Caenorhabditis elegans: one gene and its partners. The protein of the gene in region 1 purifies or fractionates together with the protein of each later gene. This does not show direct contact. Each region holds a gene or a part of one and is shown in the gene's direction. Other genes may lie near its edges.

Evidence for each region. Proteins that work in one complex are often made in the same cells at the same time.
Region 2: the proteins of mev-1 (region 1) and nduf-11 fractionate together in Caenorhabditis elegans (co-fractionation; one large-scale study listed by BioGRID). This does not show direct contact.
Region 3: the proteins of mev-1 (region 1) and ndub-3 fractionate together in Caenorhabditis elegans (co-fractionation; one large-scale study listed by BioGRID). This does not show direct contact.

What each region holds. Positions count from the first base shown.
Region 1 is NC_003281.10:10,331,323-10,336,900, forward strand, and holds mev-1 (Succinate dehydrogenase cytochrome b560 subunit, mitochondrial), read left to right. Parts: upstream 1-2,954; 5' UTR 2,955-2,955; coding exon 2,956-3,042; intron 3,043-3,153; coding exon 3,154-3,516; intron 3,517-3,569; coding exon 3,570-3,668; 3' UTR 3,669-3,846; downstream 3,847-5,578. Other genes in the region: T07C4.12 (COMM domain-containing protein), read right to left, coding at 248-408, 883-1,156; jmjd-4 (Jumonji domain-containing protein 4), read right to left, coding at 1,204-1,336, 1,529-1,806, 1,857-2,106, 2,156-2,293, 2,346-2,466, 2,513-2,696; Apoptosis regulator ced-9, read left to right, coding at 3,850-4,101, 4,150-4,410, 4,942-5,091. UniProt on the Caenorhabditis elegans protein: Membrane-anchoring subunit of succinate dehydrogenase (SDH) that is involved in complex II of the mitochondrial electron transport chain and is responsible for transferring electrons from succinate to ubiquinone (coenzyme Q).
Region 2 is NC_003280.10:11,342,432-11,349,016, reverse strand, and holds nduf-11 (Complex I-B14.7), read left to right. Parts: upstream 1-3,396; 5' UTR 3,397-3,401; coding exon 3,402-3,484; intron 3,485-3,564; coding exon 3,565-3,685; intron 3,686-3,735; coding exon 3,736-3,952; intron 3,953-4,011; coding exon 4,012-4,149; intron 4,150-4,206; coding exon 4,207-4,434; intron 4,435-4,952; coding exon 4,953-5,149; 3' UTR 5,150-5,296; downstream 5,297-6,585. Other genes in the region: pigm-1 (GPI alpha-1,4-mannosyltransferase I, catalytic subunit), read right to left, coding at 1-304, 353-424, 475-525; B0491.6 (DNA helicase), read left to right, coding at 1,222-1,252, 1,295-2,218, 2,270-2,542, 2,590-2,664, 2,716-2,844, 2,896-2,963; lgc-20 (Neurotransmitter-gated ion-channel ligand-binding domain-containing protein), read left to right, coding at 5,487-5,586, 6,548-6,585.
Region 3 is NC_003280.10:8,962,953-8,968,079, reverse strand, and holds ndub-3 (NADH dehydrogenase [ubiquinone] 1 beta subcomplex subunit 3), read left to right. Parts: upstream 1-3,189; 5' UTR 3,190-3,190; coding exon 3,191-3,321; intron 3,322-3,373; coding exon 3,374-3,440; intron 3,441-3,623; coding exon 3,624-3,737; 3' UTR 3,738-3,838; downstream 3,839-5,127. Other genes in the region: szy-20 (SUZ domain-containing protein), read left to right, coding at 74-687, 742-883; sec-62 (Translocation protein SEC62), read right to left, coding at 1,426-1,491, 1,541-1,863, 1,908-2,027, 2,112-2,363, 2,409-2,521, 2,573-2,648, 2,697-2,820, 2,886-2,906; sftd-3 (Vesicle transport protein), read left to right, coding at 3,937-4,052, 4,099-4,197.

The sequences.
Region 1 (5,578 bases):
GAGATATTTGAGATGATTCAGCTTGCGAAATTTTGCCCTCCGAAACAAAAAAACTGAGAAATTCTCCCCATTGGGGAGAAAGGTAAACACTTGGGAGGGGCAGATGTTTAATGTCCTGGAATTATTTCTCGTGACTACGACTGACAGGTTTCCTCAAACAATAATAGTTTTTATTTTTGAAAGAAGAGTATTGAAAATTCGGGAATGTTCTCGTAATTATATACAGTACACAAAAATGGTGGATTTATTATTCCTGCGGATTCACTGCCAGTACGGCCTGAGCGAGTTGTTGACGGAACTGTGCAAACGAGTCGATGTCGAATTCGAAATTGGTGTCGCCGCCGACGGTTGGCATCTGAATGTTGATCACTGGCCGGAGACTTTTAGCCACGTACGAGTTGGCGACCACTGAAAAAGATACATTTTTTAAAGAAAATTTAGGAGCACATAACGGATTCGCACAAAAATAAAGGCGGGGCGTAATTTTGCAGCCATGCGGCACGGTTATTTTCTCCTTTTTTCGTCTTTTTCTCCAGTTTTTTGTGGATTTTTTCAAAAATAAAACTTCGATTTTACTTTTTATATTCTGTTTTTTTTTTCAGTTTTGTCTAGTGTTATCCAATTTTATTCTTATACTATTGTGAGGATATTTTCATGCTAAATTTGTTGTAACCACATTAAATATGCTCATAATCGTATGATAATTAAATTGGATAACATTTTTATTCGAAAAAAAGAGAATAAAACTAGTAAAATCGAAATTTTAATTTAAAAAAAAAACGACAAAAAACAGTGAAAAACCGTGCCAGGGTTGCAAAAATAAGCCAGCCTCTTTTTCTGTGCAAAGCTGCTTTTTTGATGGGAGTTTTTTTTCTCATTTACCTATATTAACATTCCACGCGATATCTTTCTCATTTTTTGCCGATTCCGCCAGCTTTTGCTCAACTATCCTCTCTAGAGCCACTTTCTCCTCGTCTTTGAGATCTTCTGATTTTTGAATAAAGTCCGTTGAATTGATTGCATGACACGCTTTAAACAGTTCTCCATAGCGTATAATATTCTTCAAATCCTCTTGATCATCGGCAAAATCGTTCGGAAGTCGTGTGGAAGTCGTTGCACAGTCATATAAAGTCGCCAATTGTTCCTCCGAGAGCATCTGGAAAGCGGGAAATTAGAAAATTCCTGGGAAAAAATAGGAGAAACCTATAAAAAACGAGAAGCGACAGAAAATTCGAGCTGCTCAATGAAGGCAGAGCATTTGGAGCAAAAAGTTGTGGAGCAAGAGCAAATGGATAGAATGTGAGGGTGACAGGAAGGTGATGAGATACATTGCCAGCTGGAAAATTGTGGAGTTTTGGAATATATATTTAGTTTTAAATTTTAGCATCGCGGCAAAACCCAAAGCTCCAAGGAGATTTTACTTTAAAATACCAAAAATAGACTAAAATTCAGAAAATCTAAAAGGAAAGACGAATTAATTTGCGAAAGAACTCAATTTTGGATAATTCTCTCTAAAATGAGAACCTACATCTTTGAACCATGGGCTTCACATTCAAATAATTCCCCAACTTCATGACTTCTAGATTCTTTTACAAGCTCACACAGCTTTCGAAACTTTGAATTATTAAGTCTAGCGTCGGCGAACAACACAAGATCCACTTTTTCTTCAAATTCCTCGGCGGAAAACAGATCTACACAATCCTGGAGCTCCTCACGAACATCTAGCTCCCTCCGGCTCAAAAACTCCTGTACTAGATGAAGATTCGTGCTGTTCATCCAGTTATGATTGATGGAAATTGTGTCTTCCTGGAATTAAATGATGTCCTTCTAAACTGAGAGATAAATAGTTGATATACCAAATTGTGGGCCTGATGGTACCAATTAGATGGGACAAACACAATTTCTCCGGGCTCTTGAACGAATTTTATCACTTTTGCCTGCTCGAATAGCCGTTCATACTCCCGAATGTCATCCACAAACCCCGACTCTGTAACGCTGCTCCGAAACAGATTTTCACTGCCTGGGGGCATCATAAACCACTGTTTTCTGCCGCAAATATTCGCTGACCAGCTATGCGATGAAACTACGTCGGAATGAAGTTTTGTCCTAGAAAGTTTGAGGGGATTTCTAATTTTTAAGAAAATTCCAAGGCTACCAGGATCCAGAAGCTCCGATATAAACGAATCGATAGTCGTCACCAAATGGATTTTCCGATTTCTCACTAGTCCATGGCTCACAATTTACAAAATCTCGAGAAAAGAAAGGATGCAAGGAGTATGAAGAGGTTCCGAATCTAAATATTTTAATTTAAAAAAATCAATTTCGAATTGAAATTCAACTCCTACTCGTTTTGAAAATGCCAATCCTTTAAGTAAACTTCTGGATCGCCCATTTCTTCCAGAAATTCCTTCAAAGTAGTGGTTTTGTACTGATTTCCTCCGCAAAGAATAGGAACTTTCGAATCTCCTGGAGCGAAACGGGATTTTCATAACAAAAAACTATCCAGACAAACCATAGGACTTTTTCAAATATTCCTTATTTGGCTGTCCATTTGGAAGCACCCAATCTTTAACGGCTGTCCAGCCAGAAGTGCTCCACTCGCCAAGGATAAAAGGCTCATTTTTGAAGCCGAATTTTACTAAAATCTCTAGCCATGGAGTCGATGGATCAGAAATTCGAGGAATTTTAGATTTCATCTTGAAATTTGCAATGGAAAAAATAATTATTCAAAGAAAATCACAGAAAATGCAACAAAAAAAACAAAAAAAGAACAAAAAACAAGTCGAAAAGTGCGCCCGGGTCGTTTGCTGACGCATCTCTTCAAACGAGACGCGCTGCTGGCGCACTTCTCGTGCCCTGTGCGTGCATTTCCGCAACAAAATTCAACACTTGTTTTGAAACGCACCGCCCTGTTTCTTTTTTCAATTTTGATAAGAAAATCAGCATTGTTTCAGGATGATTAACATTCCAACTGCGATTCTGTGCCGCTTGGGCGCCAGATCGTCGATTTCCCGCTCCTTTGGAACATCGATCGTCACCAAGGTGGGGATTTTTTGAATTTTTCCGTGAAAATTGTTGATTTTTTGTGTACGCATGAAGGAGAAATGTATAACAGACACATTCTTTTCAATTAATTATTTATAATATTCACAGTCCGAGGCAAAGACGCCAATCCAGAAGTTCGGATGGGAATACCTGTTGAAGCAGCGCTCCAAGAATCGCCCAATCGCTCCACATCTCACCGTCTACCAGCCACAATTGACCTGGATGCTCTCCGGATTCCATAGAATCAGCGGTTGTGTAATGGCCGGAACCCTTCTCGTCGGAGGAATCGGATTCGCAGTTTTGCCGTTCGATTTCACCGCTTTTGTGGATTTCATCCGTAGCTGGAACTTACCATGCGCGGTGACCGCTGTCTTCAAGTACATCATTGCTTTCCCCATCATTTTCCATACTCTTAACGGAATTCGCTTCTTAGGATTCGATTTGGCTAAGGGAGTCAATAATGTTGGACAGGTAGGAGTTGAAATTATTAATTTAATTGTTTTAAAATAAAAATTAATTTTCAGATCTACAAATCGGGATATCTCGTATCTGGACTTTCGGCTATTCTTGCTCTCGCCATTGTCTTCAACTCTTGCCAGAACAAGAGCAACAAGACTGCCTAGGCACAGATGCTCCGCCTTCTTTTTTCTTACTCCGCCCCAGCCCTCGACAATTCTCGTCAATTTACTTTTACCGTTGATTTCTTCGATTTTCTCTCTTTTCCGTAGATTTACCTCTCCTCTTCGTTTTTTTTTCTCTGTCTAGAATGTATATTATGATTATGAAAACGAATAAAAATTTTAGATGACACGCTGCACGGCGGACAACTCGCTGACGAATCCGGCGTATCGGCGACGAACGATGGCGACTGGCGAGATGAAGGAGTTTCTGGGGATAAAAGGCACAGAGCCCACCGATTTTGGAATCAATAGTGATGCTCAGGACTTGCCATCACCGAGTAGGCAGGCTTCGACGCGAAGAATGTCCATCGGAGAGTCAATTGATGGAAAAATCAATGATTGGGAAGAGCCAAGGCTTGATATCGAGGGATTTGTGGTAATTTTTTAATTTTTTTTTGTAAATAAAATTTCCTGCTGCTTCCAGGTCGACTATTTCACGCACCGAATCCGGCAAAACGGAATGGAATGGTTTGGAGCACCGGGATTGCCGTGTGGAGTGCAACCGGAGCACGAAATGATGCGAGTTATGGGAACGATATTCGAGAAGAAGCACGCGGAAAATTTTGAGACCTTCTGTGAGCAGCTGCTCGCAGTGCCCAGAATCTCATTTTCACTGTATCAGGATGTGGTTCGGACGGTTGGAAATGCACAGACAGATCAATGTCCAATGTCTTATGGACGTTTGGTAAGGGAGAAAATACTGAAAAAAAGTTTGCAAAAATTCGAAAATTCGCCAGAAAGGTGGCAGAAAAAACATTTGCAAAAATTGTTTGTTTTCCTTCAGGAAATCAGCAAAACTTGGTCAAAAATAGCCCAATTATGTGTCTTTTTTGAAAGTTTTCCATTAAAAAACCACGAATTTTGATCCCGGATTGTAATTTTTTTTGTTGATAAATTAGCAGAAAACTTTACGAATTCGATTAAAAACGTTATTTTCTATTCGAATATTTTTAAAGCATATTTTCCTTGATTTGTATTTGCGAAAAAGATCTGCTGATTTATCAAAAATCGGTTTTTAAATGTAAAATTTGTGGAAAATACATTAAAATTCGATTTTTGAACTTTTTTCTTCGAAAAACAGGTTTTTCTGCTGATTTGCTGAACGAAAAACCCCAAAAATTCAATTTTCGAACATTAAAAACCAGAAAAATCGTTTTTTTAAGCTTAATTTTCCGCCAGAAATGAACGAATTAAATTGCAAATTTCTAATTTTCAGATAGGTCTAATCTCGTTCGGCGGTTTCGTAGCTGCAAAAATGATGGAATCCGTGGAACTGCAGGGACAAGTGCGAAACCTCTTCGTTTACACATCGCTGTTCATCAAAACGCGGATCCGCAACAACTGGAAGGAACACAATCGGAGCTGGGTAAGGAGTATTTGCATAGACATTAGAAGTCAATATCCCCCTTTCCCTAGTACCCTTGACTTCCCGGGGTGTTGGTAAGCCGATAATTACAGGGTTCGGTAGCCTCTTGGGGGGACAGCTGGAAACATATTCAAGTATATTACTGTTTATGATAATGTTATTGTTACGGGAATACAAAATTCGCAGAATGCGTATTTCACAACATATTTGACGCGCAAAATATCCAGTAGAGAAAACTACAGTAATTCTTTAAATTTTTAAAATTTTTACAATTAAAGAAAATAACCACTAATCAAAAGAAATTAATTTCAAAAATCGAGCCCGTAAATCGACTACAGTAGGCATTTAAAGAATTACTGTAGTTTTCGCTACGAGATATTTCCGCCTCAAATATGTTGTGAAATACGCATTCACGGATTTTTGTGTTCCCCGGAATATGCTCTAAAGCATTATTTGTGAAAATAAAAAATCAAGAAAAAAATTGCAG
Region 2 (6,585 bases), on another chromosome or scaffold:
TCAGTGGATTCGCAAGCCAGTAAATCACGACATTCATTGTTTGATCATCTTTCATTTCTTCTCGTGTTTCGCTTTTTGTTTCGTTTAAATCTTTCTCCATTATTTTAAAATACAGAATCGCCACCAGGATGTCGAAAATGCAGAAGAGAATCTTTCCAAAGTCCGGGAAATGCACAACAGGCAAAAGAATCCATGCTAGCGCAGGCGTATATCGGTAAGTGGCTCTGTCGAATGGGCTTCCACCGTTTGAGACATGTTTGGCAGCGTCGGAGAACACGTGATAGTCGATGTCTGTGAAATTCACCTGAAACACTGAGTTTAAACTTATTTTGATGATGTAAAATTATCAAACCTTGAATAGATAATCGTGAATGTGTGCGTAGAAAACGAGAATTATCCTTGCCACGAATGCCACTAGTAAAATCTGGAAGAACATCATTAATTCGATGAATTCGTTGAAAATAGACAAATTACCTTATTTCGATTGAACGTTTCGTTCTTCACAAAACTCCGGACACATTGCATTTGTGGAGAAAACTGGAATATATTCGAATATATAAATGCTAAAAACCAACAAAGAATTTGTTAAAAATTGAAAAATGCAAGTGTGCTCTAGCGCAAATTTTCAACGGAGGGAACTTGAAAATTAGTTATTTTCGGGCAAACTTGTCGCAATTTTAATTGCTTCTTTCTTTCTTTAGATATCTCGCTTTTATTCATTTTTTACTAATCTTATATGTTTTGAAAGAATTATTTGTTAATCTTCATTATGTTTTCCCGGAAAAAATTAGCAAGAATCGAGTAAAACGGGTCTAAAAACGCGCTGCATATTACATGTAATCCTATTCTAGACAAACAAGTCATGCGTTTTCTTGTTATTCCCAATTTTGCAACAAGACGCAGAGACAAATTTCAAAATCATCAAAAGTCCAATAAAAGAATGCTTCCTTGCCCCGGAGACGCAGAGAATTTTCTGGCCGCTTTCGTTATTTCGTCTCTGTCTCTTTGTCCCGCGTGCTCTTTCTCGTGAATATAATCTGCGACTCTAGTAATTTTAGCACTATCTCTCATGTTCGTTTCGATTTTTGCGCCACATTCGACTTCATTTTTCGTTTTCCAAAACTTCTTTCAAAACAACTTTTTCGCATTAATTTGTTGTCTTCCTCACTCTTTTGAATTCAAAAACGAAAATTTTAAACCACCGATTGCAATTGTTACGAGATGCAAAAACCCGACGAATCGAATGAAAAACGTAAGAACAATTCAAATTATATTTTAAAATAATTATTATTAGTTTCAGATGATATTCCTTGCACATCAGCAAGCCTTCTCGACCATTTGATTCAGAAGGAAGCTTCTGCAGCAGAGGACACTGATCCCTTGGATCATATTGGCAATATAGGAGAAGCTATCATTGGACAATTTTCGTCTGGAGCAGATGTTGGAACCGAAATTCTACAAAATGCTCTCAAAATGTTCGATCAAGCAATGGCCTACACGAATCCACAGGCTCCACCAAAACGAAAATATAAACGAAAAGAAGCTCCGATAGAGGATGCTCAACCTACCACGACTTCATCAGCTACGCTAGCTTCCTTGCTCACTCTCAATCCGGTTCCAATTGAATCTAGTGCGAAAAGATTCCATCAAAATGATCTACGAGCTGGTTTTTCGCCACGTACCAAGTTCGACGTGGATTGTTCGGATTTCTTTCTTCTACAAGGATCTGATGCTGACACTCAATTCAATAATCTCCACAAGAAGCTCGAGAAGGAGAGAACGCAGATGTTTGATGATCAAGTTTCGAAAGATGTTGAACGACTTCTAAATACCGCAAACAGAGTTCACGGTCCCCGAGAATGGACTGCCGAGGAGAAAGCCGAATTCACTTCATACTGTAGAAGCTGGCGCAGTGGAGCATTAGGGGCCGATGACAAGCTGAATCTTCAGAAATTTTATTCAAAAGCGTACGGAAAAGTTTTCCAAGGACTGAGCGAAAATAAAGCTTCATCGGAGGAATCAGCTATCGATTTTTCTAATTTCATGGGTGTCGGTAGTGAAGATCCTGCTAATCAAACAGAAGACGTACCAGGTGGAAGCTGCAAGGCTTCTCCCGACAATTTCTCATTCTCTACTTTGAATCCAAGAATGAAATACGAGAAAGAGAAAGAATTTCGGTCCGCTATCAATAATATATTCACGGAAGTTTTCAAAGAATGTAAGTGAATATTGTAAAAGTTTTTATTCAAACAAAATTCTTTATTTTCAGTTCACTCAAAGAAGCAATTCATTCCCAAACCAACTCGCCTGGACGTTCCGCCGTGCGAAATCGAGCGGGAGCATTTATCAATGCTGATGTCAAAGTTCAGTATAGCTATGGACGATCCAGAAAAGGAATGGAATGTTGATGAGCTTCAGGAACTGCGTCGATTCTATACATTATTTCGAGAAAAAAATCATTTGCCATTCGTTCAAACTAAGGAATTCGGAAAATTTCTGCGTAAAGCATTTGGAAGACTAGAGCATTATGAGCTTCAACGAGGTTTTGCAATTAATTTATGGAACTTATATGATTGTTAGTTATTTCAGAAAATGACACTTCTCTTCAAGAAAAACGAAAATTTTGGCAAGAATACAGGAAAACGCATGTACCACCGAAAAGAGGTGATTTCTAAAATAAATTTTCACATTTTATCCCAATTTCGTACATTTCAGAGCGAAAAGCGTGCGCGGCTAGAACCACACCAGTAAGACCTTATATAAAATCGAATATTGATACAAAAGGAGAAACTGAAGAAGAGAGAAGATTGCGGAGAGCTGCGTATCTTCGAAAGTGGAGGCTAGGTAATATAACATTTTTGTAATAATACATTTAACAAATTATCGATTTTTCAGCTCAAAAAGAGAAGCATTCAGCAGACGTCATGTCACAGTTCAAGCACCAGGAAGATGTCGCCTTGTGATTTCTTTGTTTAATATTAATCAACTTTTTGTTCGCATCTCAGGAAATGTTCTTTGAAAAATAATTTGTTAGATAAAATTTATTTTAATCCGAATAAATATTTTATAATCTTTTTACTTATAGTTAATACAAAATTATAAACTCTAAGAGCTTTCAAAAAGCAAAAACCGCAAAATTAAATGCAAAAAGAAATTACAAATAAATCGTTTTTGAAAATCCGCGCAAGGACGAAGTATGCGCTAACATATGATTGTTGGCGCGTTTCTCATTCCTTGCGCGTTTCCCGTCTCGGCCGATTAATTTTTCAGTGTATTTTTTTCTGTTTTTGTTTATTTTATCCGCATTTGAATACATATTTTTGGCTTATCTTCTTTGGAATTTTTTGAAAGTATCTATGAACAATTTTTTATTGTTATTTATCAATCGATTTTCAGGTAAAATGGGCCACGGAGAAGAACCATTGACCGCCACGTATAAAACGCAGAGACCTCCATGGATCGGTCTTTGGAGTGATCGTGAATAGTAAGCTTTATTCTTTTTCTACTTTTGAAATTAAATCTAATTCAATAAAATATTTTAAAATGGTAAAATTTGTAATTCAGCAAGGGACGTGCCGACTGGTGGAAGGAGCCAGGACTTGAAGACTCTGTCACGCGTTCTGGAAAACTTCGTCTTTATCGTGCTCGTTTCCGTGAGGAAGATCCAGATTGGTATGATCCAAAGGTACAGTTAATTTATTTTGAGTGATATTCGCTAATTTTTTGCGTTTTCAGGTAAAAGACGGAGAATCCCTGGCCGGACCTTTCGGACTCGATTCCAAGAAGACCAAAAATCTCACCAAAAAAGGAGATCAGCCAGGAGAGCTGTCCGAATTCCAGAACAAAGTTTACGAAGGATCCCACCAGTTTAAGGCTATCGCTGAAAAGTTTGGAATCAGCAAAGAGCATCCAGGACTATCCGTTAGTCCAACCTTGAGCGATAATATGCTAAGTGAGGAATAATTAAAATTTTATTATAAGTATCCTGCTACAAAACTTTTTTATTTCCAGCTCCAAAGGACGAGTTAGGCAGAAACGCCGTGTTGCCAAACTCTTGGTATCCTGCCGGACCCCGTTTCTTCGACAGTCCACTCAATGAGGGATCTTTCTGGAAAGGACTTGCCGCCGCCAAGTATGCTGGAATTTTGTGTAAGACTAGATTAAGATTTAAAAAATGTTCACGATAATCATAAAACATAATTTCAGTGGCTCCATACACTATGCTGGAAATCCGTGCACTCAATACAGTCTCGGTATCCGAATTCTCGCCAAGAACCTATATGAAGAGATACCTCCAACTCGCTCCATTCCCATTGGCCGTTGCATTCGCCTGGGGCTTCAGTCTTTCAGCAGCCTCATCGATCCGTCATAAGGATGATGTCCATAATCATTGGTTCGCTAGTGTTGCTGTTGGATCAACCGTGGCTACCATGAGTATGTTTTGTTAAAAATTGTAAGCCAATTTGGCGAAATGATCAAAAAACGTGGTTTTCAGAGCGTAGAAAAAAATTTTAATTCTATTTAAATGATTTCTTATGTGTTTTCATCAGATTTTCTGTTAAATTCGAAGAAAATCACATGGAAAAAATTTAAAACAGAAACTAATATATTTTCGTAATTTTCCAAAATAGAAAAAAATCAATTCAAAAAATTATCTTTCATGGTAGCAGCCACATTATCATTGTATCTCATAATCAATTAGTTCTGATTCTGTCCGAAAAAATATTTTGTTCGAAATATTTTAATAAAAATTAGTCTGAAAATAATAAAAATTCGGCTTAAAATATGAATATTTATTTTTAAAATTTAACAAAATTCTCTGTAAATCTGGCAAAACTTGTACATTTTTATTTTTTAACAAATAAAAAATCTAGACACAAAATCAAAATCTGATTGTCCTGGTTAATTCCTGAAAAATTTAATTTTTCGTTTCAAAACCACTATTTTTCCAGAGAGCAACGTTGCCCTTGGAACCACTGCCGCCATCTTCACCGCCATCCTCGGAGCATTCTGGCAGTATCAACGACACTCGGAGACTGGACTCCAAGGAATGACTGCTCATCCACAATCTGCCGGAATCTGGGGAGGACCACTTCTTTGGCAGAAGATGCAACTTGGAAATGCCGATGTTCCGACCACACGATACTGATTGGATTTTTGAATTTTTTCTAGCTTCGATTCTACAATCATGTATAAGATTTTTAGTTTTCGAGAAAGAAGCATATAGCACTCAAACTTTAATTTTTTTTTTCTTCTTTTCTGCTCTTTTCCGAATAAAATCAGCGGTCATAGCATGAAAATAGTGTCTGTGAGTCGAGACACCGGGGGAACAACAACACAACGAATCGATTGTTTCACACGCTGGCTCCCCACCCCGCTCCGTTGTCCTGGTAACAACAAGAAGCGGGCGGTTCTTAAGAAGGGATACGCGTAGCAGCACACATACATACAAACTCGCATAACTTATTCCCTCTTGCTGGTCAAAAATGTCGTTTCTTGTGCTCTTTGGAGCACTTCTTCTCATTCAGACTTCTGAGCAGATGGTTCAATGCAGGTACACGAAGAATTTGACAAATCGAGCAGATGGTGAGTTTGGAAATTCCGAAATACTTTTTTTTTAATGGTTTTGGAAGGAATAACGTTGCCCACGTAACTCTCGGAAGTGAAAATTCAAATTAAAAAAATTTGCGAATTCTTTTCTTTTTTTGCATTTTGAAAACTGCGAAATTTAGCGATTATTATCGCAAAAATACGATACCCGGTCTCATCACGACAAATTTGTGTTAAATGCAGAAAAGGTGTGCGCCTTCAAAGAGTACTGTAGTACTGTAGTTTCAAACTTTCGTTTCTGCGCAATATTAATCGACTTTTGATAGAATTTCGATACTTAAAAATGCACTTTTTTATTAAATAAATTTCAAAATCTAGAGAAAATCTATGAAAAATCCGGCAGTAGCAAGAGTTTGAAGTTACAGTACTCTTTAAAGGCGCGCACCTTTTCTCAATTAACACAAATTTGCCGTGTCAAGACCGGGTACCGTATAGTTTTCTTACAATTAATTGAAAAACTGAAATAAAATACATGACTTTTTTTTTAACCCATGAATAACACAAGAAAACAATGAAGAACTTCGGTATTCTTTAAAGGTGCACATTTCTTAGAATTTTTGAAAATCGTTCGTTTCGAGACCCTCAACCGTACTTTTGGGCAAGCTTCCATCGAACCAAGGAATTACATTTCAAATTTATTTGGAGATCACGATCATTTTCTGTTTACGCATGACTGAGCGCTTTGACTCATTAGTTTTGACGGCTAAAAGTTGATATGTTGATCTTTATATTACGCAGACGTCGGAAGATGATCATTTTTTCCATATTTTTGGGTCTCGCCACGCTGAAAACAAATTACAGTAACTCGGGCCAGGGGCCAAGGGCCGCTTTTGCATGTCATTCTAATTAGAACGTGCGTGGCCGAGTTTCTCTTTTCGCGGGCACCTGGAAAATTTTTTTGGGTGGTCTCACAGCATAACCCAAATCTTTGTTTTAGGAGGAGATGAGCACTGTCTATTCTACTATCTTCTCAAC
Region 3 (5,127 bases), on another chromosome or scaffold:
TGATTTATTTGGTTAATACCATAAAAATATGACAAAATAATGGACGATTCAAATAACCTATTAATAGTTTCAGAACTACATTCCGTACAATCTACCAAACATGGCCTACCCACCTCCAAACTTCCAACCCCAAGGACAACTGCACCATCAAATGAATGCAGGACAACTACACCAAATTCAACAACAACAGCAACAATGCCAACAGATTCAACATCAACCGCCTCAGCAACACCAACAGGTTATAAATGGCCAAGTGATGAATCAACAGAACCAAAGAAATCAGGTGAATAGTTATCCACAGCAGAATGGTGCTGGTCGTGGACAGAATCGACAGCCGATGATGTATCAGATGCCATGCAACAGTGGGCCGACAGCAAAGCCCCCGCCGTTGATGAATCAAATGCAGAATAGATGTATGACCAACAATGGTCAAAACTATCAGAATAGGAATATGCAGCAGCAAGGTCAGCAGCGATCATATTCGTCACAGCCTCAGAATGGTCAGTTCTACCAAAACGGAAATTCCAACCAGAACAATCCGAATAATGGTAGAAAACAGCAGCATCAGCCACAGCAGCAGCAGAACAAATCAGGAAAATTCGGACAGAATAGAAATGATATGCAAAAGAACAATTATCAACCAAATCTACAGCAACCTCCGATGAGTCAAAATCCAATTCCATTTGGGTGAGTTTCAATTACTTGGCTCATTTTAAAATATTGTTAACATTCTTTTTGCAGATGCCCACCACGTAATGTGAATGCGATTCGAGAACAACACGCAAACAATGGATCCCCAAACACTGGCGCTGGAATTCTTGGACCACATCCAATGATGTCTGCATCCCAATGGCCAGCGTTGCAGCAGAATCGGCCTCAATAGTTTGTTATTCCATTCTACGAACACTCTATAGACAATTCATGCTTTAACCACGTCTTTTTGATGTGCTGTGATGGTCATCTTTTCACATTTATCTCCCTTTTCTTGTTCCATCAGTCCGATTCGGAATTGTGTTAATCAACACGGGTCGTACTTCCTCTTTCTCCCCCCATCTCCACATATTTATATCATTATTTTCTACATTCATTTTGGCATGTTTCAAGTTATTCAATTTTCTATTGTTATATGAGCCAAGTTTGATGAAGAAATTATCTTGTTTGACTTTTGTATAGACCAATTTATTATATGTCCAATAGTGGACCGAAACGGAAACATTCAGATTTTAGTTATGCAAGAACAATGAAGAGTGACTGAGAAAGAAGAAACTAGCCAAGAGGGTAATCACAGTATGGAAGAATGGGACGAAAAATAGTATTTAAAATGTGACGAAACCGACAGGATGAGGGTAATGCAATAGATTTTCAGGACAAGTTTTCATAAATGCAGAAATGTGGAATGGAAAAATTTCAGGATAAACTAAATTTCTAGACTTTAGCTGGACGACGTTTTCGAGGAGCATCGTCACTTGGTGATGGTGGAGCAGAGATTTCCTAAATTTCAAAATTATAATTATTTAAATTGAAACACTTATCAGATTACCTCGTCTTCAATTTTTTCATAATTATCATCAGTTGATGCCTGACTATTTTTTTCAGCATCATCGTCTTCTTCCTCTTTTTGCTCCTGTTCAGCAGCAATGTGGTCTTGCTCCTCCTCTTCTGCATCAGAATCCTTTTCTTTTTTCGACTTTTTATCTTTCTTATCTTTCTTAGCTTCTTTCTTCTCATCACCAACATACTCATAAGTATACCATGGTTGGAATGATTCAAGAACTCCACAGTCTTCAGTCAAGTTCGGCAGAACCCAGAGTTTGTGTTTTCCGAAAGTAACAGCGTAGATAATTCCGAAAAGAATAGTACGGACTGAAAATAATCGAAAAATGAATATTATTGTTGAAACAACTCACGTATAGCAGTGACAATGATAGCTGCAAAACATCCAATTCCAGTAATTGATACGTAATAAACTCCTTGGCGAAGCCATACAGGCCATAGAGGGAACAAGCATCCGACAATTGTACCGACGACTGAAATATATTAATTGGATTTTAATTTTACACATTGAATCATTTCTAAAGCAGGAAATAACAAATCAAAAAGGGAAAACTTACGCATAAGTACTCCAATAATCTTTTTCATGAGAGGAGTTGGATCGAATACCCAAACGTAGACATCTTTGTCATCGACGAATGCTTGAACTTCATGTACAAGAAGCTTCACCTTCTTTTTCTTTTTTTCTTCGTCTTTCTTTTCGTCTTTTTTCACTTCTTTCTCATCACCTTCAGCTTCGGTTGCTGTTTCTTCTTCTTTGGCTTTTTTATTTCTCTTTTCAACTACACCTTTTGGAGATTTGGTAACTTCAGCTGAAAAAAACGTGTTTTAAGATATTTTTTAAGTTTTATGATTACCAGAAGAATCGTTTCCTTTATCTTTATTCTCTTTTTTCTTTGCTACTAATTTTTTTGCACGGAAGAATAATTGTTTCGAGTTGAGTTCGCAAATATAATGGAAGCAATCATCTCTGAAAATTTAGAATCTATTTAAATTTACGTAATTTCTACAGAATGCCCACCTTGTTTTAAACATTGCATCTTTCTTTGCTTTATTTCCGTACTTGGATTCCCAAAGAGTATCGACAGCTTTATTTCCTGAAAATATATGCGATATTAATATAAACAATTGAAATTTGTACATACCACTGAAATAATGAACTTCGTTTCCTTCAAACATGGTCGTGGCTGTCGGACAATTGAATCTGATGTATTTGGCAATGTCTTCTTGCTCCTTCGTCATTTTTACGGCATCTTCCGTAGATACGCCCTGAAATTTGAATTAAAACATCGTTCTTTTCTAGTTAATATTGATTTTTCCGAATAAAAACTCACTTTTTGATTACGTTTCGACATGGTTAAAGTTTTCCTTTATTAAAAAAGCAGAAAAAATGTTGAGAATCTGAAAATACAGCCAAAACAAAAGTGGTGCGTTGGAACAAGCCAAAATCTCCTGACAATTGATTGAGAAAAGTGTGCCGCAGTTGCGCTCTGACGGAAAACGCAACTGCCGCACGCTTACACACCGCGTAAATCTACACAAACTCGGCTGGCATTTCTTTCTGATTTTATCGTTCTCTTCATTTATTTTCATAATACAGGTTTCTAAAACATTTTTTTTCAATTATTTTAATTCCAGAATGGGTGGAGGACATCACGAGCCGTTTAAGATCCCAAACTACTCAATCTACAGCAATTTTCGCGATTTTCCACAGTTGGCGCAGCATGAAAAACGACTCGCTCAAATCGGATTGAAGGATCCATGGATCAGGTCGGTTTTTTATCGATAATATTAATAAATATATTATTGATTTTTCTTTCAGAAACTACGTCTACTTGTACGATCGAAAGTATCCACACGTTGTTGGACAATGGGCTCATTTCAAGAAGGTTCGTGTTTTCTTCGAGATGAATTAAATATTATTAATATAATACCAACATAATATTAAAAAATTTTTATGGATTGTATCCTATAAATGTGCTCTTGTTTGGAAAATTTCCGAGCAAGCCGATTTTCCAAAAATTATATTAATGTATTTAGGGAATTTTTTAAAATTATTTAATAAATTTCAGTTGATTCTTCCTGGATGGAAAGCTGGAGTTGCATTCACAGCTGCCTTGATTTTCGTTGAAGAAGCTTACCAATACAAGACTCACGGAACCACCTCATGGGATGGTCATCATTAGAATTATCTGTTTCAAATCTCGAGCCGATTTCTTTTTTTTTAGTTTAAAAGTTTTCTTTTTGTGTATGTAGTTTCTTAAACTCCAATAAATCATTCATTTTTAAAATCGCAATTCACCCTCGTTGAAAATTGGTATTCTGCCAGAAAGGTTTCTATGATAACGATGTCAATAAATGTTTTACAACAACAATTTAAAGGGCATGTCTGCTCTAGAGCAGTTCATAAATGATCAGAAGAAGAAAGGAAGTGGTATCAGCAGTTCAGCTTCATTTTCTTCATTTGATTCACTTCGCAACAAGCTTCCAACGTCTATTGGGTAACAAATTTCACTTAGAAGAAATGTATAAAGTTTGAAGTTTCAGAGGATTTTCCCTACTTTCCCGAAGCGAAACAACCGATAGTCAGCAGTTATTAGTTGGAGATGATTCTGGAGATGGACAATTGCCAGCTTCCAGAAATCGGTATGTTTTGTTCAGAAAAACAAAAAAAAATAAACTGAAAATCTTGATTTCTTTGAATTAAATACTCCTAAGTAGGCAAATATCAATTAAATATTATATATTTCAATTTTTAACTGATGAGAAACGGATAAAATTGTTTTCGTTTTAATAGACTCAAAATGGTTTTGAATTACTTAAATTTCATAATAAGATTACTCAAAAACTTTCAACGCTTTTTTGGCAGTTCGAAAAAAGTTTTAAAAATATTTCCAAAAGCTATGTTCACTTATCAGCGAAATTTTACGATTTTCGCGACAAAAATACGGTAGCCGGTATCGACACGCCGTTTTTTTGGAAAACAAAAATAGATGTGAGCCTTTAAAAAGTACTGTAGTTTAAAAATTTCGTTGCCGCTGAATTTTCATCGACTTTACATAGTTTTTCGGTAAAAATATACTTATTTAAAAAATTAAAATATGAATAAGCTATAAAAAATCGACGAAAATTTCACATTAACGAAAGTTTGAAATTACAGTACTCTTTAAAGGCGCGCACCTATTTGAATTTAATTAAATTAGTTGTGTCGAGACCGGACACCGTATTCTTTGCGCAAAATTGCAAGCCCGGGAAATATTATCACTCTTTTTGTGTTAAAACGACAAAATATCATTGCATTTCAAAAAAGGATATCTTTAAAATTTACAGTCAAAAATTGGATATTACTCAGCTTTAGAAACTTATAATTATCGAAGTCAACCAAAAAAAGGATTTTTTACGAATCTTACTTCTTATTTAATGTTCTGAATATTTTTTTAGAACATTTAAAATTTCCAAACATGCGAAATGCTTCTTACTTCTAAAAAAAACCAAATTAAATTGGTATTGAGCCAAAACTATGACTAAATTGTTTTCGAAAAATCGTAATTTTTTAAAGTAAACAAAAAAAAATCT